4 linked regions of the Drosophila melanogaster genome follow. The gene in region 1 interacts genetically with each later gene. Each region holds a gene or a part of one and is shown on either strand. Other genes may lie near its edges. The genes, in order: pk, bdg, Mks1 and dgo.

The links.
Region 2: of pk (region 1) and bdg, changing one suppresses a phenotype caused by changing the other (phenotypic suppression), as found in Drosophila melanogaster (one study listed by BioGRID).
Region 3: of pk (region 1) and Mks1, changing one suppresses a phenotype caused by changing the other (phenotypic suppression), as found in Drosophila melanogaster (one study listed by BioGRID).
Region 4: of pk (region 1) and dgo, changing one enhances a phenotype caused by changing the other (phenotypic enhancement), as found in Drosophila melanogaster (2 studies listed by BioGRID).

The regions. Positions count from the first base shown.
Region 1 is NT_033778.4:7,185,054-7,190,717, forward strand, and holds the start of pk (prickle), read left to right. Parts: upstream 1-2,179; 5' UTR 2,180-2,560; intron 2,561-5,664. Other genes in the region: CG30384 (uncharacterized protein), read left to right, coding at 1-131. UniProt on the Drosophila melanogaster protein: Acts in a planar cell polarity (PCP) complex; polarization along the apical/basal axis of epithelial cells. Correct expression of the alternative isoforms is required for PCP signaling in imaginal disks.
Region 2 is NT_033778.4:15,928,171-15,934,196, reverse strand, and holds the start of bdg (bedraggled), read left to right. Parts: upstream 1-2,261; 5' UTR 2,262-2,673; intron 2,674-5,866; exon of another isoform or gene 5,867-6,026. Other genes in the region: Diap2 (Death-associated inhibitor of apoptosis 2), read left to right, coding at 378-1,413, 1,477-1,565. UniProt on the Drosophila melanogaster protein: Putative sodium-dependent transporter which is required for viability, early imaginal disk development and adult motor coordination. Also has a role in the fate commitment of the R3/R4 photoreceptor cells.
Region 3 is NC_004354.4:12,493,043-12,498,697, forward strand, and holds Mks1 (meckel syndrome, type 1), read right to left. Parts: upstream 3,556-5,655; 5' UTR 3,520-3,555; coding exon 1,420-3,519; 3' UTR 1,353-1,419; downstream 1-1,352. Other genes in the region: mdu (meduse), read left to right, coding at 4,531-4,551. UniProt on the Drosophila melanogaster protein: Probable component of the tectonic-like complex (also named MKS complex), a complex localized at the transition zone of primary cilia. Required for ciliary structure and function.
Region 4 is NT_033778.4:10,815,107-10,822,419, reverse strand, and holds dgo (diego), read left to right. Parts: upstream 1-2,535; 5' UTR 2,536-3,128; intron 3,129-3,316; 5' UTR 3,317-3,319; coding exon 3,320-3,379; intron 3,380-3,445; coding exon 3,446-3,871; intron 3,872-3,926; coding exon 3,927-6,224; 3' UTR 6,225-6,383; downstream 6,384-7,313. Other genes in the region: RpS15Ab (ribosomal protein S15Ab), read right to left, coding at 215-607; Lsm10, read left to right, coding at 810-1,235; Prosbeta5 (proteasome beta5 subunit), read right to left, coding at 1,437-2,138, 2,201-2,347; CG7222 (uncharacterized protein), read right to left, coding at 7,310-7,313.

The sequences.
Region 1 (5,664 bases):
ATCAGTATCTCTTGAAAAAACTGCGATCGCGGAAATCTTACAGGGATAGCCTCTACATGCAGACCTACTCGCACCTGTGTGACATGGCCGAGAACGTGGTTTCTGTTATCGAGAGCACCAAAAACGCTTAAAGTAGCCCTACAAAACAGCTTTTTGCGGCTTGTTTGCAATGTTAACGTCCAAATTTAATATGACCGAGAAGTTGCTAAAACTCTCGCATTGAAATAAAGAAAAACTCCCCAGGGATGGTCTATTGATTTGGAAATCTATTAGCCCGCCCGGGGTGGGAACTATTTCCCTGCCTGGGGACACACCTGTGCCCCCGATGTGGCGCCAACTTTTCCCATTACGATAGCCCTTTATGGGCCAACAAAATTGCCCATTTCACGAGAGGAATGCGGGCCCACACCCCGCAACCCCCATAATGCTTAATGGCGCGCAAATGTGGGCCGGAAAAGTTTGGAAGCCGACTTCGATTTGAGCTAGCTTGCATTGATTTGATGACACTTTGGGGCCCATTCGATTCCGCTAATAAACGAACCACGTCCAGCCCCCTAAACTCCAGCCATTCCCTCCCAGACTTGGCGTGTCTAAAAGTTGTCTGCACCTTGGGGCTGCTCTTTTGACGTTTCCTTCCCAAATGGTGTTTGATGAAATGTGGCAACGAATGAGGCCGTTATGCTTGCAATTAGCCAAATTGATTTTTTGATAGCGTCAACGCTATCCAACTATAATCCCCATTCTTATACTCAATCTTATTTTGGCCCTTATTAGACTCAGCTAATTGCCTTCGATTTACATTTTCGTTTCAGGTAAGCCAAGCGCAGAAACCTACATAAGTATACGTATTGCTGGACAGGTCTTTGATGCCCGGCCCCTCGGGAGCTTCACACGCCGCCGATCCACAATTCAAAATGCCATAAATCATGCATCATTGAGGCATCCCAGGTTGTGCAACAAAAAGCGGCACGCAGAAACGTAGTGTTTCCGTTCACACTCAGCTTCTAATTAGCCTGCGCTGAGATGGCACTAATGTGCGGCCTAATGATCTCCAGTCGGCAGGCAATGATGGTGACCAACTAACATGGTCAGCTGGAAATCAACCTTGAACTCGTCAGATGGCCAACACGGTTGACATCGCACTTTTTGTCACTTCAAGCCCACTTTGCAATGTGGTTGGGAAATATTTTTGCTTTCTGACAAGAGATATTTCATCACTAAGTACCGGCTTTAAATGTAGCTTATGTTATATTTTTGGTCACATCTAATTTATAAAAACCACTCTTAATTACTCAAAAGGGTTTGGCCAAATCGTATTTCACGGTTACCATATTAAAAACTCTTTTGGGTACCCTTCTAGTGTTTTAACTGTTAAAGTATGAAAATCATTTTAGTACGTATTCTTTCGTGTATGTGTGGTAATCAGCTCTTCTGATGCACTTCATTACTACATGCAGTTTTTTCTTACTTAATTATTTTAAGTTTATTGCTCTTTAAACACCATTAATTTACAAGGTGTTTATTACTTAAAGTTAATTATTTAAGATTTGAACAGCGCTGCCATCAGAATACGGCTGGATATATAACTACTAAATTCTTACATCCATGGGAAGGTAGATTACGCAATTCACTATTTATGAACACGAGGCATTCTATGTAAAAGCCCTATTATTGTCCCATAGAGTCCTGGAAAGTTCTTCAGATACTTCAGCATCTAGAATTTTAGAACCCTATATTGTTTGCAAAAAGAAACAAGAAACTTATATTTCTACATTAGACTTAAACGATGAAATATTAGGAACTCAGATTCTACAGAGAATCTTACGCGCAAATCTACATGTATATGATTCTAAAAATGCGTAGTAACGAAGCATACTTTTGGGATGGTAGTGTAAGCAATGGAGCTATCAAACAAGTTCGATGTTGCAGTTGCGGATTGAGTTGCAGCTTATGATATTTGGCGTTTTATACAAATTTAGACAATTTTAACGACGAAATCGGAAACAAATTACTATAAACTATCTTGTTATCGTTAACTACACTTAATAGTGATAGTATTTTGGCAGCTCGTTGAAAGAACACTAAAGCAAGAAGTCCCACGAACACCTTACCTTCATCGAACACGATCCACAGCCTAAGATCAAACCACACAGAAATCCACATCTGGGCAGGTTCGATCAGTCTGAAAGCGTCGTCAGTTGCGAGCGGTTTACATCTGGCAACAGGTGCGGGTTAGTCGTCGCGTAATCCGTCTGAACGATCGATCGATCGCGCGCTCTTCGGCTATGTCGATTTCGGTCCACGTTATCTTGCGCCAGATCTGTCGTTTACCGTTTTTCAGCCAGATCGGAGCAAAGTGCACAAAAAGCTGCTAACTGAATTCGCAACAATTGCAAAAAATTGACAAAAGTGAAGTGCAATCCATAATCCAGAGTGGTCCCTATCAGGGCCAGCTAAATAAGTCTGGCATAGTGTTCCTTCCTGGGGCCAAGTGAATTAATGCAACAATTGGCCTAAGCGCTCATTTACGCTAAATGCTCGGGATAAGCCACACGGGCAAGTGAGATGTGATTTAAGCCATGTTTTCGCCTGATGATTGTCAACGCAGCTCGTTTCGTACAACACGGATACCAGCTGATACTCAAACTCAAACTCCTTCACTGATACAAACGCTTTCGTATTCGTATTCAGATACAGATACAACTGACAATAAAATTACATTAAAAATCAAATGAAATTCGAGGCCGATTGATATGCGAGGCACAGACGTCGGGCCGGCTGCTTTAGCGCAATATTTTTATGGGATTATCGAAGGTCGAGAATCTGTTAGCCAAGGTGTGTGGCTGATACTTAGGAAACGAAAGACTTGAGCAACGAACTTTGGATATGCCCGGCCCGTCGGTGTAATGGCTTTCATAAGCTTATGCACATTACACGTCAACTGAAGTGCTCAGCTTGATTTATTTAGATGCGTTAAGTTTTAATCGCCATTCGCAGCGCACTTTCACCAACTTGCTGCAGCCTCGCGGAATGAAGTCATAACCAAATAGGCTTACGACCCGCTCCAGCACATAAAACATGACTCGTCTAGCCATAAAAACACTTGCCAAAGCCCGAAATATTTTGATTACCGCGCACAGCTCTTGGCTTTCTCCGCCGCTTGATCCAATTAGTTTTTGGTGGGCCATAGTGCAGATAAAGCTGAGGATCTACGGATCTGGTGATCCAAAGCAGCTGCCACCCACAGAAGTGTAATGAAACGGGCTTACATGGCGGCAATGTGTCAACAATGGCTTGTTAGCAATTGCTTTTCAGTCCCGTGTGTGTGTGTGTGTGTCTGTGTGGGCTTCGAACACCTCATTGACAAGAGACATTTGACTCGAGCTGAACGTGTGTGTGGGCCGGGGTTGAAATTTATCTCCGATTTCTAATTGCCTGACATGCCAATTTGAATTTAAAGCGCACCGATAGTGGTTCTGCGGCGCATTCCTCCGCGGTGTATGTACATAGCCCAGGCACGGTGGCCATAAAGCACCAACGGAACACTGCAATTCGCTCTGGTCTTTTATGGCCCGGCCAACTAAATCAATTTTCGCACTGCGGCTGGCTTCGATTCCGGGCTTTATTGAGAAATTCTTCATAATTATGTAGCGTCGGCCGGCGGCGGTTCGAAATAAAACTGTTGTTTATGGCCGAGTTGCGGCAACTAGTTGGCTCAATTATGGAGCTGCTGCATCAACTTTCTCCCTCACTATGGGCCAACTGCCACGGCTGCTTAACCCCAATCGACGCCTCGAACTGACTAACTAACTAACTAACTGGCGTGTTAATTTGTTGGTTAGTTTACTCCGCACGCAGCCATCTAGCCACAATTGCCGGAGCATGAAGGCAAGATGCTCTGGCTATCTGGCTGTCGGGCTATCTGAGATACAAAGCAGCTAAAGATTCCCGCCTCGGAATAGATTGGCCACTTTACAGTTATCGACTTGGTTTTGTTAGCATAACAAAAGGTCCGAGTGGGTCAACAACCTAACTTCGTTATGTCAATCTCTGTGTCTGTGCCCCACCATTTGCATATTACACATGTCTCACGTCCATTTAAAGACGCAATTAACGAACCATTTCCCAGCTATTCATCATTGGCGAGCGAATTTCGGTCTGTAAATTAATTAGGCCCCGTTATGAGCTTTTGAGGCGGGAAGTCGTAAATAAGTATTGGATCCGTCGATGGACGTATGCAAACGCCAATTTGAACTGTCATCCTGTCAGCTCGCGTTAGTTTCCCAACCATCTTCCAGGCAGATAAGAACGGGTTCCCCGGAAAATGGAGCAACGTTAGCTGGCCCGGCCCGCTCGTTTCCTCTCACTCAACGCCATTTGATTGGATTTGACATTTAACACGAGTGCGCTGCAGATTAGACCGGCCAACTGCCTACCGCCCACAAGGTGTCCATTTTGGCGGCGTGCCGACTCGATTTTCATTTCACTTTGTTTTCCACGACATCGAACGATTTTCGAGATGCGATCGGGTTTTATGTGAGCGCAATAAAAACTTGAAAAGGAATTCCATTTCTGCTTAGAGCAATCAATTTCGATGGCGACAAAGACGTTTAGCACCCCGCTCCACCGATAAGCCAGGCGTGAGATTATTATCCGACCCAATGAAATATGAGGCCCAGACAATGGCTCATTAGATCGCCGGGCTTTCGCCCAAACTAGTTTGGCTGGCGGACCTAAACTGTGTAATTATTACGGCCTGGCCCAGCCGTAGCTTTCAGAGGCTCAAATTATAGTTTGGCAGTAAAATAGACAAACAAGTTAATCCATTAGCGAGTGAGACATCCCGCCTGACTGCCAAACAGAACCGGAAAGAATCCAGCTCTGAAGACCGCTATTGGGTGCATATCTCTTATTGTTTATATTGTCTCCCTGGCGGGATTCGTATGGTAATATCGGAAAATGTGCCAGCTGCATAGGCCCATCCGACTGCATAATAAATTATGAAATTTTACAGTTGCAGCCGCGCTGAATGAGTTGTCACGTCTGCGGCTTTCTAAACCACTTAGGTAGGCAGTGATAAGTCCATATATATGTCAGATTCTGTGGCGCTGAATGGGGTTCTTGATAGCTTGATAACACAATTTTAACCCGTTCAAAAGAGACTTTCCGGGCAAATGCGGCTCAAGTGGGCGCAACACTAAACACAAAAGGTTGAGTGCTGCGGTGAACGGCTTAACTGCGCGTTGGGAAAGTAAACCAAGACAAAGCAATTGACTTTTTAACCTGCATTTCTGTAAATTACACTCCGAGAAAAATCTACATAAATAGTCATAAAATTAATTGCGCCTGTCTGCCATTTTCCACGCAGTTTCCCAGCCGCCGGCCATGAAATCTTGAGCCCCGGCAAATGCCTGGCAATAAAAGGCACCATAAAGCTACCATACTTGAGTTTATGCCGTATGCAAGGGGGGACACTCCTGGTCAACTGTGTAATTCCAACTGGGGATTGATGACAGAGCCGCCAGCCATTGAAACTAAAGTAGAGTCGTATGGAAAATCGCAGTTAAGAGCAATGCAATACAGCAATGGCAACTTCTGCATTTGCCTAGGCTGAGGCGTGTGCAAACGCGCATACGCCCCGTTGGCCTAGTGCGATTTCAATCA
Region 2 (6,026 bases), 8.7 Mb from region 1:
GAGTACCCTGAGCTGGTGTCGCTCGCTTCTGGTGATTCACCATAGCGGGTCATTGTAATCACTATAGTTTCAGTTTCAAGCTCACTATAAGTGCATATGTAAGTATGATTGCGTAGTTAAAAAGTAGCGTAAATGAGGCCAGGAAAATCCCGGTCGAAAGTATCAATGATATTTTTGTATACAAACAAGAAATGTCTTGTTAGCTGCCTCAATTCAGCTGAATGTTGATTGATAATCCTACGAAATTAAGCTTTAATTAAGATATACAAAAATCATTATGAACTTCAAATGAAGTTATTGTATACTGTATAATTTCAAATATTTTTAATGACTGAATAAGATAGTTTAACTTTAGCCCAAAACGTCTTCCTTTGTAGAATCCCAACATCACGCCGCAGGCTCTGGCAAAGGCAGGTTTCTACTACCTGAACCGTCTGGATCACGTGAAGTGTGTTTGGTGCAACGGAGTGATTGCCAAGTGGGAGAAGAACGACAATGCCTTTGAAGAGCACAAGCGCTTTTTTCCCCAATGTCCTCGTGTGCAAATGGGCCCCCTTATAGAGTTTGCCACCGGGAAGAACCTGGATGAGCTGGGCATCCAGCCCACCACTCTGCCACTGCGTCCCAAGTACGCCTGCGTGGACGCCAGATTGAGAACCTTCACCGATTGGCCCATTTCCAATATTCAGCCCGCTTCGGCTTTGGCGCAGGCTGGCCTATATTATCAGAAAATAGGCGACCAGGTGCGCTGTTTCCACTGCAACATTGGATTGCGCTCCTGGCAGAAGGAGGACGAGCCGTGGTTCGAACACGCCAAGTGGTCGCCAAAGTGTCAGTTCGTTTTGCTGGCCAAGGGTCCAGCCTATGTAAGCGAAGTGCTCGCGACAACAGCTGCCAACGCCAGTTCCCAGCCAGCAACTGCTCCGGCTCCAACGCTCCAAGCAGACGTACTGATGGATGAAGCTCCGGCCAAGGAGGCCCTAGCCTTGGGTATCGATGGAGGAGTTGTGCGCAATGCCATCCAGCGCAAGCTCTTGAGTTCCGGCTGCGCTTTCTCTACGTTGGACGAACTATTGCATGACATCTTTGACGATGCGGGCGCAGGAGCTGCACTGGAGGTGCGCGAGCCGCCGGAGCCAAGTGCTCCTTTTATTGAACCATGTCAGGCCACCACCAGCAAGGCAGCATCTGTGCCAATACCGGTGGCCGATTCCATCCCAGCCAAACCACAGGCAGCTGAAGCAGTGGCGAATATATCGAAAATCACAGACGAAATACAAAAGATGTCGGTGGCCACGCCGAACGGAAACCTATCGCTGGAGGAGGAAAACCGCCAGCTAAAGGATGCACGCTTATGCAAGGTATGCTTGGACGAGGAGGTTGGCGTAGTGTTCCTGCCCTGTGGCCACTTGGGTAAGTCGCTGAACTATACCTTGATTGCCTTGAGCTGTAGCTAACTTCCTGTTAACCCGACAGCCACCTGCAATCAGTGCGCCCCCAGTGTAGCCAATTGTCCCATGTGCCGCGCAGACATCAAGGGATTCGTGCGCACGTTCCTTTCGTGAAGTGCATATCGACATCATTTAGAGTTCACCAGCCTAGTTAGCAGTTAAGCAAATCGATTGATTGCACCCACACAAACTACTACAGCGAAGTTCAAATTATCCGGTGATTAGCTAATATAATCGTCTACTAATCGTCTACTAAGTACTTGGCCAACTGCAGCTATTCGTTTTTACATTAGCTACGGTTGTAAGTTGTCGTTACTAACTATCGCATTGTGTCCGAGCGCATCCCTTTTGAACCATACATTATGCACGCTGAAATGACCTTATATAGATGAGCAGCTCTAATTCGCGCTGAAAAGGGTATCAATGCACCGGCACGACCGCAGATCACATGGATTTCTTGTTATAGTACTCTTATTAACACATGTATGTATTTTTGTTGATCATGTTTATAGGCCGCTGATAGTATGGTTTACACACAACTATATGCATTCTCCAATAAATGTATATGTAAATGTTAAAAAATTTGTCTTTTCAATTGCAAAAATTCTTTAAAATAATTTATTTATTTTGCTAAGTTTTAAATCCCAACGGTCTTCAAGTGATGTGCCCCGAGAGATTAGCCTATTAGCTTGCAACAGTCTGATTCCACTGCTCACAACTATCTCGATATCATCGCCATGCACGGTTCGATACTATCGATAGTAGCATCGATGTTTTGACGGCTCTACTCAAAAGTACCAAAATATTGGTATCCAAGCAATCGTTTTCAGCTCTCCGCGTGAAGTCGTGTGCGCTGCTCGTAAGGGAGCTCCATTGAGTTCTGGTCGCGAAAAACTAACAAGCTCCAACGCCAAGAAGTGCAGAAGATAGTGAACAAAATTTAGAAGAACCGAACCGAAGCTACGGGGAATTTTATGTGTGAAATCGAAATTACCAAACGCGCGCTCGTGTGAGTATATTCTGCGAGTATTTCAAAGGAAGAGTTCAAGTGTGTGTGTGTGTGTCTGGTGTTGCTGCTGCATTTTACGGAGTGTGGGCGCTTTATGCTCTTTATAGTGTGGTGTGGCAAGCAGTGGCCATATCCCCCCGCTACACCAGAAAACCCTTACAGTCCGCTACCTTTCCATTTTGGAATCTTCTTCGAAAAACACTTTTTCGTACGGTGAGAAACAAAGCGACGCACGCACACACACGTTCAGCGAGCGTTGCTTATCTAGATTGTAAGAGGGAGGGAGGGGAGAGAGAGCGCGACACGTATCTGAAAATCTCAATCTCACAAGTACACACCGTAATTTCGGTTGTCGAGCGTGCTGCGCATACGCGCTTGGCTTGATACCATTTCTCACATTTTCCATTCGGGTCAGTCGCTGGAAACAGCTGTGGGCTGTCCCCCCACCCCTTACCATTCCCTTCTAAAGAGAATGACCAATCCACCCATTAAGGTATTCCCCAGCGAACCGCAAAAGCCCAATCAGCGTTTATTTTTTATTCGGAATGATTATTCATTTAAAACTCTGGATAACCTGTATGTATGCGTGATGGTGTGTGTTGGCAATGTTTTGCAAATACATACAATTTCAACAGCGCATAAAAAAAAGAAAAACAAAAGCAGGGCGGGCTTTTTACCGTTCTCTTTCTCTTTCTTCCGCCTGCCAGAGGAGAATGCAAAAATAAACAAATAACGAATTCCCGCTATCTGGACTGCGAATGTGTTCAGAATTTCTATATCCATATATGTATGTATCCGTACACAACGTTTGTTTAGCAATTGACCCAGTGCTTCCCTTAAATATTGAACTCAATTGGAGGCGCAGTTACACGCGGTGGGCACTTTATTGACTGCATTACTCATATGCAAGTCCCAAAAGGAGGGGGATCGAATGCGAATGCCGCACCCCGTACTTGCAGCACTTATCTGTCTACGAAGAAATTGCATAAAACGTGCCGATCTCAACGTTTGATGTTTTACAAGAGTAGCTGGCATGGTGGTAGATAGCTGAAGTACAGTGAACTGGCGCTATGCGAGTCTGTGCTTGACCCACAGAAGTTACTGTCAAAACATTGCTTATAGATTTTGATTAATCACTTGTAAAGTTCATTAAACCCATTTAGGCTCATTACAAGTGATTAAGGTTTTAAGTGCCCTTTTAGCTTAACTCATATGCCTAATACATTTTGTACATCATTAAGTCACAAAGCAGTTTAAATTATGTTTTGAGCTACTTTATTAAAGAGAGTAAACCCTGCGTTTTTGTGTAGTTTTTACTAATGCCAGTTACTGTTAGCCGGTTTTCACTGTGCCAGGGCTGCGGCACCTGCACGCATCGCAGATCGAACCGTTGGAAGCCTCGCATCTCGCGATCAGCATAAGTTGCAACCCTAGTCGCTCACTAACATACACACACAGGCAGACATGCTGCTCACGCACAATGGAGCCAGCTTCCCAGTTTGCGCTCTCGTGTGTGTGTGTGTGTGTGTGTGCAAATACGTATGTATGTGCGTGTGGCAGCATTAACTAGTTTTATTTGCCTGGTGAATGTCAATTTCATTGTAATTGCACACTCAGAGTCTCTCCACGAATAGAAAAGGAAAACAAGTTGGCCAGCGGGCAGCGATGTTTGGTGATTAGTGCACCACACCTGGGAGTTGCCATTTTAGCCCCAACATTTGGCGAGGTGACCTTCGCCAGAGTTGCCGATCGATTGTGAGTTGCACTTGCTGTTGCTGCGGCGGCAGCTCTAATTGTTTTGTTTACATTTCTGTGTGCGGTGCGAAAATGCGAGAAATGCCAGAAAACGAGAGCGCCAGCGAAATTTAACGGTACGTGGTTGCCTGCCTATGTACGTTTGCATGTACATATATATAAATGTATCGGTTTGTGTACATATGTGAATTTGCGATCAATGGCGCTGCTTCGCTAAATAATTTGACCTCTGGGCCACCAATTAAAGTGTGGATGCTGCCCATTCTATTACCACCACACCACGCCACACCGCACCATCTGCCCATATCGCATTCGCATATATTACCAAAAGGTATTACCGAAAAGAAGTGCAAGACTGGTTGTGCGCGTGCGCGTGTGTGAGTTTCGGAGATTTTATGGCGGCTACGAAGGTCACGGCTAAGCGTATGCAAAATAAAATCAAAGCTAAACCAGACTCAACAGACTCTGTGATTCAATGAGATCGCAGACCAGCAACTGATAAGGCAAGTTGGCCAAGTCGAAGCTCAGATGCCCTAGTATCTAATAATTTCATTATTATATACACATAGCATTGCACTTGTACTTGATCAGCACATCTACTCTTATAGAATCCTTAAAATTAAAAAAGTTTGCTTAGATGTATAACCGTTATACAGTTAATAAACTGCATAAACTTATGCAAGTTAGGTTTGCCGGTTTCTATGGCAACTATGTGCTGCTTTTGATTGAACACAACATTTCCACATGCAATAAAAAAAACCACCACCGTTTGCCACATTTTATTTGCTATCCTGGCCAGAGGACTACGTTTATTTGGTCCTCGTTATATCGAATCACCGGCTGATACCGCCGACAAGTCGGAAATGTCTTCTTAAATACTAAATAAACTCCATAATACACAAGGGTATTCATACAGGTAAACAAAAAAAAAAAAGCGAATATAAAACAATTTTGACGTGAATCGAGGTAACGTGCCAACGATCTCCCCCCTTTAAGGCCTAGACTCCAGCACTCCCTTTCCGAATTGATTGTTTATATCGTGCCTTAAAAAATTATTAACGGAAGTACATTCACCTGATCAGTTGAATGAACATGAGCTCTGCTCTTTCCTACTGTTTTATTTATTTGCTTTATTTTTTTTTCTACCATTAAACATTTTTTTTCCATATTTTTTCTCGACCATTTGACAGCAGCTGGCGTAGATTGTTTTTTTTTTTTTCATTTTTTATAGACGCGATTCACTCACGTGCAAACAATCGTAAAAACGCCAGAGCACGCGCTTGTTTGCATTTGATTGCATTTTAACGTAGAATGAAAAGTGATCTTCCCACTGACCTGTCCCAATCGGTGGTTCTGATTTGATTGTGGCTTTAACAAACATTTTTCTCGGGCTCGGGTTTCATCTGAAGGAGAGCATTGCCTATCATCGCTGAACGAAACTTGGATTTCCCGAAAAAATAAACAACGTATTTGATTTGACGCAATCTGTGCTTTAATTGGAGCAAGTCTTATCAATTTCGGGGTATAATTTAAATGCTATACAGCTTTGAAGTCCGCTAGATGGTTGGATTACTCATAAAGACAATTTGAATTTGTCTAACTTGAATTTCATTTGAGAATCATCGCTTTTTTTAGCACAATTTTATTGAGTTACTTGTTCGCTAATTATCGTTTTCCGATTCGGTTATTAAGTTGTATACTTTCAACGAAATAACTCGTTTGAATTAGTAAAAGCTAGTTTGGCGGTTTTAGTAGCTGTTTTATTTTTTAACAAACAAAAAACACTAAATTGAGAAATCCGTTCAATCAAT
Region 3 (5,655 bases), on another chromosome or scaffold:
TAGCCAAGCTATGATAATAACCGACAATGGAGGTCTTTGCAAAACAGTTTTTGCTCTACATTGTATTTCTAGCAAAAAGTCGATTTTATATATTTCTTGTCCAAAAAGAATCAATTTTTTGGCATAACTTTAGAAATAATAATTTCAATCTAGAATGAAATACCTTGTTGATCTCGTATTGAAATTCCCAATCGAACTACTAGGAAAAATGCGAAATGTAGTTTTTTGCCATTTTTTGCAAATTTTGATGATGACCCCTTACAAAAAATGCGAAAATTGGTCTAAAAATAAATTTTCCTAAGTCCTTCAAAAAATGATAGGGATCGTTAGGATTGGTAATTAGCTGCTCAAAACAGTTATATTGTCATCTATATGACAAATTTTAGCGATGTTATGACGAAAATTCCGTTTGTAAAATCAAGTTTTTGGTAAAAACCCGTTTCTTTCAAATTTCGGTCAATAAATAATCCGTTTTTTTGCCACAACTTTTAAAATAATGGCCCCAATATGGAATGTCATACCTCGTTGAGCTCGTTATTTAATTCCAAATCGAACTGTGTCCAAAAATTGGAATTCTATTTTTTCGCCATTTTTTGCAAATTTTGATGATGCAAAATTTACAAAAAATGCAAAAATTGTCAAAAAAATAAATTTTCCTAAATCCTTCAAAAAGTGATAGGGATCGTTAGCATTGGTAATTAGCTGCTCAAAACAGTTATTCTTTCGTCTATATGACATTTTATAGAGAAGTTATGACGAAAATTCCGTATGTAAAATCACGTTTTTCGCAATACCCGTTTTTTTAGAATTTCCGTCAATAAATAATCCGTTTTTTTGCCACAAATTTAAAAATAATTGCCTGAATATTGAATGTCATACCTCAATGAGCTCGTAATTAAATTTCCCATCAAACTGTGTCAAAAAAAAGGAATTCTATTTTTTTGCTATTTTTTTCAAATTTTGATGATGTTACCCCTTACAAAAAATGAGAAAATTGACTCAAAAATAAATTTTCCTAAATCCCTCAAAAAGTGATTGGGGTCGTTAGCAATGGTAATTAGCTGTCCAAAACTGTTTACATTACATCTTAATGATTATTATTAGCAAAATTATGATTAAAATTCCCATCGAAAAATGTATGAAATTTTGCCAATACCGTTTTTCCGATTTTTGAAATTAATATTATCGGTTTTTTTTTAAATAGGTGTCTGAATATATACCTCTTTGAGCTCGTTCTTAAATAATCTATCCAAAATATTCCACATCAAATGTACATACATATGCTTCTCACGTTTTTTACTCATACATAAAAAAAAATACGTCTTTCATAATATAATTAATTACTAATAATTATACAAATATTATAGTTTATATAAAAAAAAATTATTTGTCATCATATTATTGTACTCATTGAAGGGCTTAAAACTCAGCCTGGTAGTATGCAGATGATGGTGAGGCTGTTTCTGAACTATTTCCCAGGAGCAGCTCGATCCGTTTCCTGGCCTCCACAAAGGCGGCCATTACTTCGTCCAGAGTGGTGGCCCTCGAAGTATCCGGATTTGAACTGGATCTGACATCGTCATCATTGCTATCGCCATCGTCGCTACTATCGTTGCCGAGTTCCAGATGGAAGTGGTGATGGAACTGATCAGATGTGTCTATTTGGCGCTGCTGAAGCTTTTGAAGCCGGAGCGAAAGTGTTCCCGTGGTGGTCATTGGCCTGTCAGAGTTGAAGTTCAAACGGGAATGCATTTCCGATTGCCGATGTACATCGAAGAAGGACTCAAAGTCGAACAGCTGACGACCGCCTATGAAATACCGATTGAGGGCATCCAGCCAGTTGCCCAGTGGTCGGATGCACTGCAGCCGTATGGAGTCCGTTGGCAGGGCGGATGTTAACGGTATCGCATAGTGAGCATATCCCTCACATCGCTCCCGCTGCCAGCTATCTATGCTGATCACTTCAAAATATAGATGCAGTAGATCAGCCGGATGATGTTGTTCCTCCAGCAGCAGGGTCACCTGCCAGCAGTGACCCAAATGGGCACTCCTCCAGTCGCCGGCATTCCTGCACGTGGCCGTCGCTCCCTGCATGGTATCCACCCCAGGTGTACCCTCATAAAAGGTATTTGCTGGTGCTTTCAGATAGTATCTTACATGTATGTTGGGGTTCTCAAAGTTCTGGCCTTCCTGTAGTTCCAGCAGCAGGCTGACCCGCTTCATCCTCTTGGGCGGCATTTCGAACTGGAGGAGACTTCTCCTCTCGCTGGCTGCTTCTCGCCGTCTGCGATAAAACTCGAGTATCTCCTCGGCGGAGGCTTCTTCGGGCAGATCTTCTTCGATGGGTAAACCATCGCCCAGTTCCTGCTCATCCTCGCCATCCGCCTCCTCAGAGAAACCATCATCGTCGTAGGCCTCTAGCGGTGTGACATTCTCAAAGCCAAAGGCATACAACTGTCGGCAATCGTTATTCCGCTCGATCTGAATCACATAATCCAGATCCTGGGCACTGCTACTGAAATCCGGATAGACATAGAGCAGACCCTGTTCGGGATCATATCGTATACTAACCAACAGTGTGTCCTGCTGCAGATCGGCATAGATGTACATTAGCTGATAGCCCTTTTTATGGAATTCACTTGCTTCGGCGGGCATAAGACTCTCGGAATCATTATCCAATAAGGTGTGTATGAGGCACGTTCTGGCGGCAAAATTGGGGTCATCCAGTATTGAAACCTCCGACATATTCGCCGAGGACAGACTGGTAATAGTCGGGTGAGCTGCGGCAGAGCAGCCTCTCTGCTTCGCCTTGGGCTTTCGTATCCGGCGACGAATTGTAATAGGCTCAGGATCCTCCACCGTCTCTGCATCTTCCAGATTCTCCAGTTTCCTTAGATATCGCTGTTGTAGCTTCAAGGTTTCCAAGGCCCACCTGTGATAGCGCCGCTGTAGTTTCGAAGCGCAACTTCCAGGATTGTTTATATATTGCTCCAGTTCCGCTTGACTAAAGTGCTTTTGCTGCCAGGATATGCGTATTGTGGCTATAGCACCATTGCAGAGTTCCTTATTCCGTTTATAGAAGAGATCACCAGCGGGAGGACGACTATTATCACTGAGAATGCTCCACGACCGATTACTTTGGGACTCCAGATCCGTTATTTCTCCCTCGTTCTTATCCTTTTCCATTTCCCCCTCATGCTGAGATATTGGACTCCTTCGTCTCCTGCCGGTGTAACCAATTCCCACATTATAATAACTGCAGTTGTAGCCCAAGCCAGTCTTCCCTCCACACGAATCATCGCCCTGGGGGACATGAATATAGCAATCCTGCCAGATATCTTCCTCCGATCCGGGATAGTGGTCACCATATGCGTTCGTCGATTGCGCTCCCGCGTATTCAAATTTGGGGACCGGCAGCCATTCACTGATGTGTCGCAGCTTCAGTTCCAATTGCAGATCTCCTATGTTTCCGCTCACGCGATAAACTCCAGTGCGCTTTATGTCTCTGCTTTTTTGCATGATTCGCCGATGATTATTTTGCCCAGTAAATTTTTAGTTTCTTTATTCAAACCTCAAAGAATGTAAATGACTGGCCTTCTTTGTTTGTTTTCCATTTTGTTATGTTTTGTTTATGGTTTTTGAATTACCGTTGCCCAGGTAACCAATCGATTATATACCGAAAACCAACTATTGTTGCCGTGACAACCATGAAGGCCGATAACTGTCTTTGAAATATGATAGCTAGAAAATAGCCGAAATTATATTAGCTGCTCAATAAGATTTTTATAAATTTAAATTGTACAAACTGTAATTTATTCATTTATTTTATTATAGCCACAAATACAATGTCAATTAGATTGGAAATAATAAACATACATTACACAGCTAGCACTGAACATTTTTAAGTTGTATATTTTTTATTTAATAACTTACAAATAATAATTAATGCTTTGTTTCCAAACGAAATAATTCAGAATGGTGAATGGATTCAAATCCAATTTCAAGCGAGATAGCTAAATCTAGCTAGATAGCTGCACTGTCGCCAGCCCTGGAACATACCAACTCCGCTTCGGTATATTCGATAGGCTTATCGATTGCTCGCGAAGCTTTGCCGCTGTGTTTGTGTTATCGTCGGCCGCTTTATGCACTCCACATTCCTCGTTTCATTTTGGCCGCCAGTTGTGTTTTCGATTGCTCTGCGTGCTGGTCGTTCCTCCAAGTCTGCAATTCTGCACAATTTTACAATTATTCTTCGCGCGTACTCCAACTCCCCATTCATCCGTCTGTTTGTTTGGTTGTTTCCTTTCTTCGTTGCACCTTTTGCGCGCGCGCAACCGCCGATAAACAGAGAAAAGAAGAAAAGGAGAAATTCTGCAACAAACACTGGAAGTGCAATTTTAAGTAGACGATCCCGTGAATGTTTTCCAGTTGAAACATTTACTATCGTTTCATTTTTTTTTTAAATTTTGTTCTGTTAAGTGTTGAAAAAAAAGTTTTTGCAGCCACAGCAAACTAAAACTTTTCATCAAAATGCAGCAGAAAGTCGAAGAGGTTAGTAAATAATAAAAACATAATAATAAGTTAATAATATCTAAGATCTTGGTGTATATGAAATCAAGACAGACTGTTGAAAATACATGCTATGTTTGTTTGTTCTTCACCAAATGAAGAAAGTTTTAGGTAATTTCAGAAGCATTAAAAAGACATTAAGTAGGAACCTAAAAGTAAGCAAAAACTAGTGCATTTTATATTTCATTACTGAGGAAAAGTCTTATTACATATATTCGTTAATGTTAAACAATAACATTTTACGATTATAGTTTACGAAATAATCGTTAATTTCCAGCAGATGATTACATTAGATTTGCAGTTTATGAAGTTGTTCTTGTATTTTCTCTTACTTTTTTTTTTTGGTTTTTGATTTTACTCCACCCATTACCCATTCTCCTATCTCCTTTGCTTCCCTGCATTCTCCTGTATTTCATTGAACTTAGTACGCCCCCGATGCTGCGCTGCTTCTGCTGGCGTCGCTGCCGGCGTCGCTGTCGCTGCTCTGCCGTGACGTTCCATTGACTGATTTTCCCGACTTTCCGCAGAAAAAAAAGAGAAAAAAAAGAGAAAAAAAAAAACGAACAACAATAATGCTTTGGCCACAATTGTAAAATGGTTTTGTTTGGTTTTTCATTTACATGTTGTTCTTGTTTTGTTTTTCTTCTTCTGTTGCCCACAGGTGTGCATGTGTGTGTGTCCCCCATTGTTGTTGTTATTGTTGCTGGCGCTTTATTTGCACAGTTGGCCGCTGTTTTTTTTTTGCGTGTGTTTTATTGTGTTTAATATATTTTTGGACCCGTCTTGATCTTTTTTCTTGAGGGCCAAAACCAAAGTCATGGTAAGAGCTGTGAAATTTGTGATCGCCATTGTTTTGGTCTACAATTCTCGTGGTGCTCCTCCTTCTCTTTCTCTGGCTGTCTTTCTTCGCTTCCTTCTCTTGTCCACCTCTTTCGACGATGGAGAATTTAGGCCTTAAGTCCAAAAGTGTGCCACAAATGTCATTTTCGATAAGAAATCTCTTTTAAAATCATCCACATCATGACACACAAAAATTTAATATATAATATAGATCTGCAGACCAGCACAGAGTTGAACTAAAAAACT
Region 4 (7,313 bases), 3.6 Mb from region 1:
AAACTCATTATTTCGATATTAGATGTCCAAATTTTTCATTTTATTTCGCGTAACTTTGTGAACATTCATCGTCGTTTGTTTTCTGAATGAACGTAGTAGCGTTTTCGCCCTTTGTTTCCTGTGCACAAAGTACATAGTTGGATGCATGGTCGGTGAAATAAAACGTCAATCTACATATCAAACTCCATCCCTCTACGATGTGAACTTGGTGTCTCTAGAAGAAGAAGCCGAGAATTTTGCCTCCCAAATGTTTTCTCCTAGCCTCCTCGTGGTCCATGATGCCGCCAGAGGTGGTGAGCACAACGTAACCAAACTGACGCGAGGGCAACAGATTGTTGGTCCACTTCTCGATGTCGTTGATGGGCGCATCGAAGCGGGGCGAGATGACGCCGCACTTGTTTAGCCGACCGGTCAGGTTGACAACGATCTTGCCGGCACGGTGATCCTCGACGATCTCGAATTCGCCGATATAGCCATGCTTCATCATCACGGTCAGGAACTTGATGATCACCTTGGAGCAGGGACGCAGCAGCACCTGCCGCTTGCCACGCTTCTCGGCGTTGTTTATGCACTTCAGGGCATCGGCCAATACGTTCATACGCACCATAGCTGGATTTGTTTGCCAAAACTGTTTTACACGACCGTCACGCAAACGTGAAAAAGGGAAAAAACCTTTACTTGAAAACTTCCGTAAGTACTTCTCTTAGATGTAGTTCAAAACTAATTAATGAAAATGTCAAATTACTTATGAAGCGAGTTGGCAGCTCCGTGTCCAAGAGCAAACACTTATTTTTAAACATATCGATATAATGCAGCAGTTTAGTGCGCGGGAGAAGTATTTGGTGTCCAACACCTTAAATTGTTGGCCCGTGATGCTGCAGGGTCATTCCGTACTGATCGATCTGCACAACGAGACCTCTGTGGCCGGAATCATCGATGTAGCGGATGGACACATGACCTGCGAGCTCACCCATGCAGTTTTCATCGATCGCAATGGTGGTCAGCACCCCTTTGATCACTTTATGGTGCGGAATCGAATGATACGGCAGATCCACATACCTTCGTACTTGGATGCCGAGCAGGAACTTCGAAGCGCAATGGAACGGGGAGTCCTGCGAAGAAAGCGAGTGGAAACCAAGGGCGGAAAGCGGACATTCAAGCAAAAACGAGCGGAAGTGCGACACAAGGAAACATTGCAAATGATCTCACAGCAAAAAAAGAATAAGGAAACCTAAACTATTAATATATGCGTACTTGTTATATTTACCAAAAATACATTACATACATACAACTACATTTATAGTAATAAACCTATGAAAAGCAAAACAAATTAGCCCAATCAATTATACACAAAACATAGTCTCTAGCACGTTTATTTATTCCAAGAAATTCAAACGTATACAAACTGAATATCTTATATTCCCTTAATCAAAACTCTACTTAGCGGCCTGCTGCTTCAACTGCTCCTGGTACATGTAGTGCAGCTCCATGCAGTCGGTGTTGGAGATGTTTACCCAGCCGTCCTCCTTAATGTGATACACGCGAATGATACCACCGGAGTAGGCATCCCTGAAGGTGGCATGGTAGATGGCGCGACGTCCCAGCTCCTGGGCCTCCTTGTCCTCCAGGTCCCAATGATAGCCAGAGTCCAGGACACCGTAGGCGTACAGCGATCCACTACCAACAGAGAACAAATTGCCAGGCGTGCGAGATCCCTCGGAGTCCACATAGTAGAGGCCTGGACCACGCTTATCGTAACCGGCCAGCATCATGCCCATGCTCAGACCCATTCCCTTGTATTCGTGGGCAATGTTGGCCATTATCTTGCTGGCGGCGGCCACCGAGATGCGTTCCTTGTTTCGAAGCTCGTGAAGGCGGCATTCCTTCGAAAGGACCCTGTCCCAGTAAACGCAATCGGCTGCGCCACCGGCCAAGGTGCCCAGCATGAACTGATTGATCTCCACGATCTTCTTCATCGACTGGGAGCCAATGTACGATCCACCCGTGGCACGGGAATCGACTGCCAGGAGAACGCCGCCCTTGAACTTGAAGCCCAACGTTGTGGTGCCGTGATCGAAGTTGATTTTGACGCCGGTCTTGTCGCCATTGGCCTGGATCTGATTAAGGTTGTGCAGGGGCTGAGGAAATTGTCAAATTTTTTAGTAAATTTCCCAAGAAGATCAGCTAATTAACTACATACGTTCTCGAATGGCGGAGCAGCCAGTGTGTAGGGATTGGCCAGATTGCACATAAGCCCTTTTTGCTCTTCCTCCACATCCGCCGATGACCAGGCATTGGGCCGCATGTACGGAGCATTCGATATCTTGCAGATTTCAGCTAAAGCCATTCTTAAAGCTCCTTAAAAAACAATTGGAAACGTTGAATGCGAAATGCCGATGACAAACAAAATTCGTTGCCTACTTGTAGAGTGACCGTACTTCTGTTGGAGCAATAATGCAGACTATCGGCTTCACCGTTAGCTGTCGCAGGTACGGCAACCCAGCTCGAAACCTGTTGCCAATTTTGCCTGTGATTGGCTTTCTTTTAGTCTCTTTTTAGGCCTGGCTTGAAGCCAAATTAACTCTGGGCGTTCCATCAATCCATCAATGGCCAAATACTGCAAAGTCGGGTACTGAACAATAGTCGAAAGTAAACATGTGTAAATACGTGAGAGTGGCGAATTGCAATGCGTAAATTGCGGTCCAAAGACGGGATTTAAAATTAGTGAAAAGTAAGTCGGGAATCGAGAAAACCTAGGCGCACTTTAAACCTGGTTTTCAGGTCTAGAAATTTACTGTAATAGTGTTGAACATTTAAGAAACCATACATGTTTTATCAATGTGTTATAATGAAAGACATTTAATCTACCCTCAAAAAGGTTGTATTTCAAATTACGAGTCCTTTATTTGATCGCTTTTGGTAACTCCCACTTCTATTTGTAATGACAATTACTACGTGGTACGCCATTACGTGAGGCACACATACATGCGCATACACGGCTAGAAAATGTGCGATCGAAGATCAGATTCATTTGATCCCAGGTCAAGTTAAGCTCTTTCGTCGTCAACAAGGTTATATCAAAGAATACCATCTTTCATATGATTTTCGACATATAAACGATTCTAACGGTAATTACGGTACTTTAAGTAAGATTTTTCATTTATTAAAGACAAAATGTAGTTCTAATATAAATAATTTTTTTAATTTTATCTGGTTTTGATAAAGTGTTACTTAAAAAGTTATAATTGCAACACATCATGATAAATGAATGAAATTATAATTTAACAAATTTGATAAATAATGAATATTTTCGCAGACAATGCAGCATGGATCCTCCCGCATTCCGAAACAGGAAGCTCTCCCGAATGCGATATCCGGGGTAAGTAAGGGCACTTGCCTGAACCAACAAATCTTACACCGATGTAACTTCTTTTTCTGATTTAAGCCCGACTCCAGCAATTGGACTTCGCTGCACGAGGCGGTAGCCGCCGGAGATGATCGCCGGGTGGAGGGTCTCCTGTTCAGCAATGCTGATCGACTGGCCAGGGAATCCGTGCAGGGGAATACCCCGCTCCATGAGGCCGCCAGTCGGGGGTTCAGTCGCTGCGTGAAATTGATCTGCACGCCCCCCACGCCACCCGCTTCCTCGGGGGTGGGAAAAGCAGCAAAGGGACAGAAGGACAAAGACAAGGATAAGAACAAGGGCAGAGTGAAGGTGGCCCACCAGACCATCGAAGCCCTACACAATAGCGCCCTGGGTATTGCCAACAACGAAGGGTTGTCCGCCCTGCACTTGGCCGCTCAAAATGGTCACAATCAGAGCTCTAGGGAGCTACTGCTGGCCGGCGCCGATCCCGATGTCCGGAATAATGTAAGTGTTGGATCATATCAGTGATAACCATGTTTAACATGTTTAACAATTTCAGTATGGAGATACTCCGCTGCACACCGCCTGCAGATATGGACATGCAGGAGTCTCCCGGATCCTGCTCTCCGCCCTTTGCGATCCGAATAAAACAAATCTGAACGGCGACACCGCTTTGCACATCACCTGTGCCATGGGTCGCAGGAAGCTGACAAGGATTCTCCTAGAGGCAGATGCTCGGCTGGGCATTAAAAACGCACAAGGCGACTGCCCCATGCACATAGCGATCAGGAAGAACTACCGTGAAATCATCGAGATCCTGAACACGCCGAAGAAGATACGGAATCGCAAGGAGAAACCCAAGGAGGGCGGCAGCAGATCGGACAAGGACAGAGATCGTGAAAGGGATGTGGTGGACAAGGGTATCAACTGGTCACCCTATGGCTGTCACTACTTTCCCGATCCGCGTGCCTTTCCTTCACCAAAACTGGAGACACTGCCCAAGGAGCCACTTAAGTCGGGGGAGCAATACTTCCTGGATTTGGCTGGTCATATTCACAAGGGTCCGGTCAGCGTGGGCAACACATGCTATTGCGGTCCCTTCTTCCGTCACATTGAAAACAAACTAAATTGCAATCGAAAGAGTTTGAAGAAATACGTTCACAAAACCAAGGAACGTCTAGGTCACAAAGTTCAGGCATTGGCAATCAAGACGAACGATCAGATTGAACAGCTCACAAGAACGATGATCGAGGACAGATTGCGATGCGAGAGCAAGAGGCAGCACCTCAGTGAGTTCCTGCGACGAGGTGAACCTATGCGGTCCACCTTCGATCAGCAGAACAAGAGCTCAAGGATCGAAAGAACAATGTCCAGGTGCCGCAGTCTAGAGCTCTTGGAAAACAACCACGAAGGTGGTAGGCTCACCAACTCACGGAGTGTAGATGTCCTGGAAGATCAGGCAGTGGAGGCTATAGTACACCGATCAGCGGAGGTCCAGGTGGATAGCGACAGCGATGACGATTCCAATGAAGCTCGGGATGAAGAAGAGGCAGAAGTGGGTGACAAGGACCAGGTGCAAGAAGAGGCGGAACCAGAGGAGCACTCGAAGCTAGATGAACTTAAGCTAGATTTCCTAAAAGTCTCCGAAAGACTGGGAGTGCTTTTAGAGAAAACCACCCTGATCATGGAAAGGGACAGCGAACAGGAGAGCAAGCGCCAGCTTTCTTCCTTATCGCCACCTTATAATCCCCATCCAAGGGCGGAGTCTGCCCAACTTCGAGAAGATAAAGAGAGTGTTAATAGTCCCAATTTCGACGAGTACGCCAACGTGATACGACGCTATCCGAACTCCAGTGAGACCTCAAATCCCTCCCAGAACTCCAACAGCTGGGACTGGGAGGCATCACCCACGGGCAGCAATCCCCACCCGGATTACAATAAGTACTACCAGCGCATTGGGAGAGGAGAGAACATGCTGAACTCGGTGATCAAGGCGCTTCGAAAAGATGCCTCCTTCGCGGATCTGGGCAAAGAGGAGACGGCTGTCAATGAAACTGCCGAGGGAATGGGAGGCGACAAGCTGCTCTACAAGGAGCAAGCGAGCGAGGCGGCAGGTATCTCCAATCTGATGAAACGGCAGCCTCTTTGCTTGGAAGACAACTATCCCGTCATGTCGAATTTATTTTACTCCAATCCCATCATGGAGTACGCCGAGGAAACAGAAGTGCGTCAAAATGGCAATGAAAGTATGAGTAAGGTGGAGATTCGGAACAGTGAAATCAAGTGCCTAAAGAAGCCGAACGCTGGTCAGGTGAGGGATATGGTGGCCCAACTGCAAAACACCATTGACTCCAATCGACAGGACTCCCAGACGGCACATGTGATCGCCGCAAGATCACACTCCCGCTTGAACAATAACTTCCATCACTTGGAGGGCACCTCTTCGAACCCTTCGCCCACGTATAGTATTCCCCACCGGAGTAGCGCCCAGTTTGGGCTGCCCGAGAGACACATACCCAAAGATGCTTACTTCCATGAACTGCCCCACCGTCCACCGATTCCGCAAACTCCGCAGAGAAGGCTGCACTCCGGCTACGTACCAAATGCGAGTCTCTATCGCAGTGAAGATCTTTACGTGGGAAGGATTCCACATCCAAATGCTCCACCAAGACAAGTGGACTACGTGGATGCGGTAGCCTATAGGCCTCTGCAGTCCCCCACCTTTCAGGCCATTGTGCCGCCCCATGTTAATCAAAGGCCAAGGAACTGGCCTCATCCCAATCTTCCATCCAATGAAATCGATCTGGACGAGCTGTCTGCCGTTGGCCTCTACAACAATGTCTCGAGTCTAGTTTGAGTTCGGTAATCCCACAGCTGTTCCCATTGTACATAGCTAATCCCTACATATTTATCTTAATTGTAATCAAGTTTTAAACTACAAAGAAAAGTTAACTTATTTTCAACTGATGCATCTAATCTGGAGGGTCTAAAATATATAAATATAATACAAAGATATATGTACAATAATTTTGTTGTTTTTTGTTGAGGAGTTTTGGGTCTGAGTGTTTTCATATTCTGCGTAATTTATGAGAATATCGTGTACTTAATTATTTGGTTATTCCACTTTTGACCCCAAAAATACCCAAAATATTAAAAACGTTCCAACCTGCTCGCTTGTAAATCAAACGCAACCGAATGTTTTCGATCAAAATATATTTTTCTTTAAAAATGTTTAATAATAGTATTTATGCATGTGTAAATATCAGAATGTCAAGTACATATATTTATTGATAACAGATCATTTTGGTGTTTTGATAGACATGCGGCTTATGAACTCTGTATAATTGTGTAAACGAAATCAACCAGGAAATCATCTCAATAATCGAGCTCCGATGTTTGGTGGGAATTCAAAAAAACCAAATCCCCACCGCTGACAAAAGTAAACAAGTAAATTGGGCAACATTTTGATATCGTTCACCAATATGTCTGCGGTATTGTTAGTACAATTTTAGCAAGTGCCTAATGATGATTTCTCGATGTCTTCGTAGTTAATTTAAAATTCTATAAATGACACTGCTGCTGAACGGCGCCTGCTACTTAAATTTATCGGCCACTTAATAATATCTTAATTCTGAATAGTCATATTACAAATACAAATTACAATAGCCAATAATTTAGTCACTTCGCATGTATGTATAAGTATGTCTCAATGTAGGTTTGTTCTATGTAAGTATGTATATGTATATCGCCTAATTTAAGTCTATTAATAATAGTTGTTGCTTTCTATTTAGGGGGCGTTGTTGGCTTGGAAATTGATGTGACATGAGTAACCCGGCTTTTTGCTCTGCGTAACTTAACAATGTTGGTCTCAGGACTGTTGTTTTATGTGAACTATGATCGCTTGTGTGTCGCCAAGTGACATATTTTCGGTCAGGTAACGTCTCAA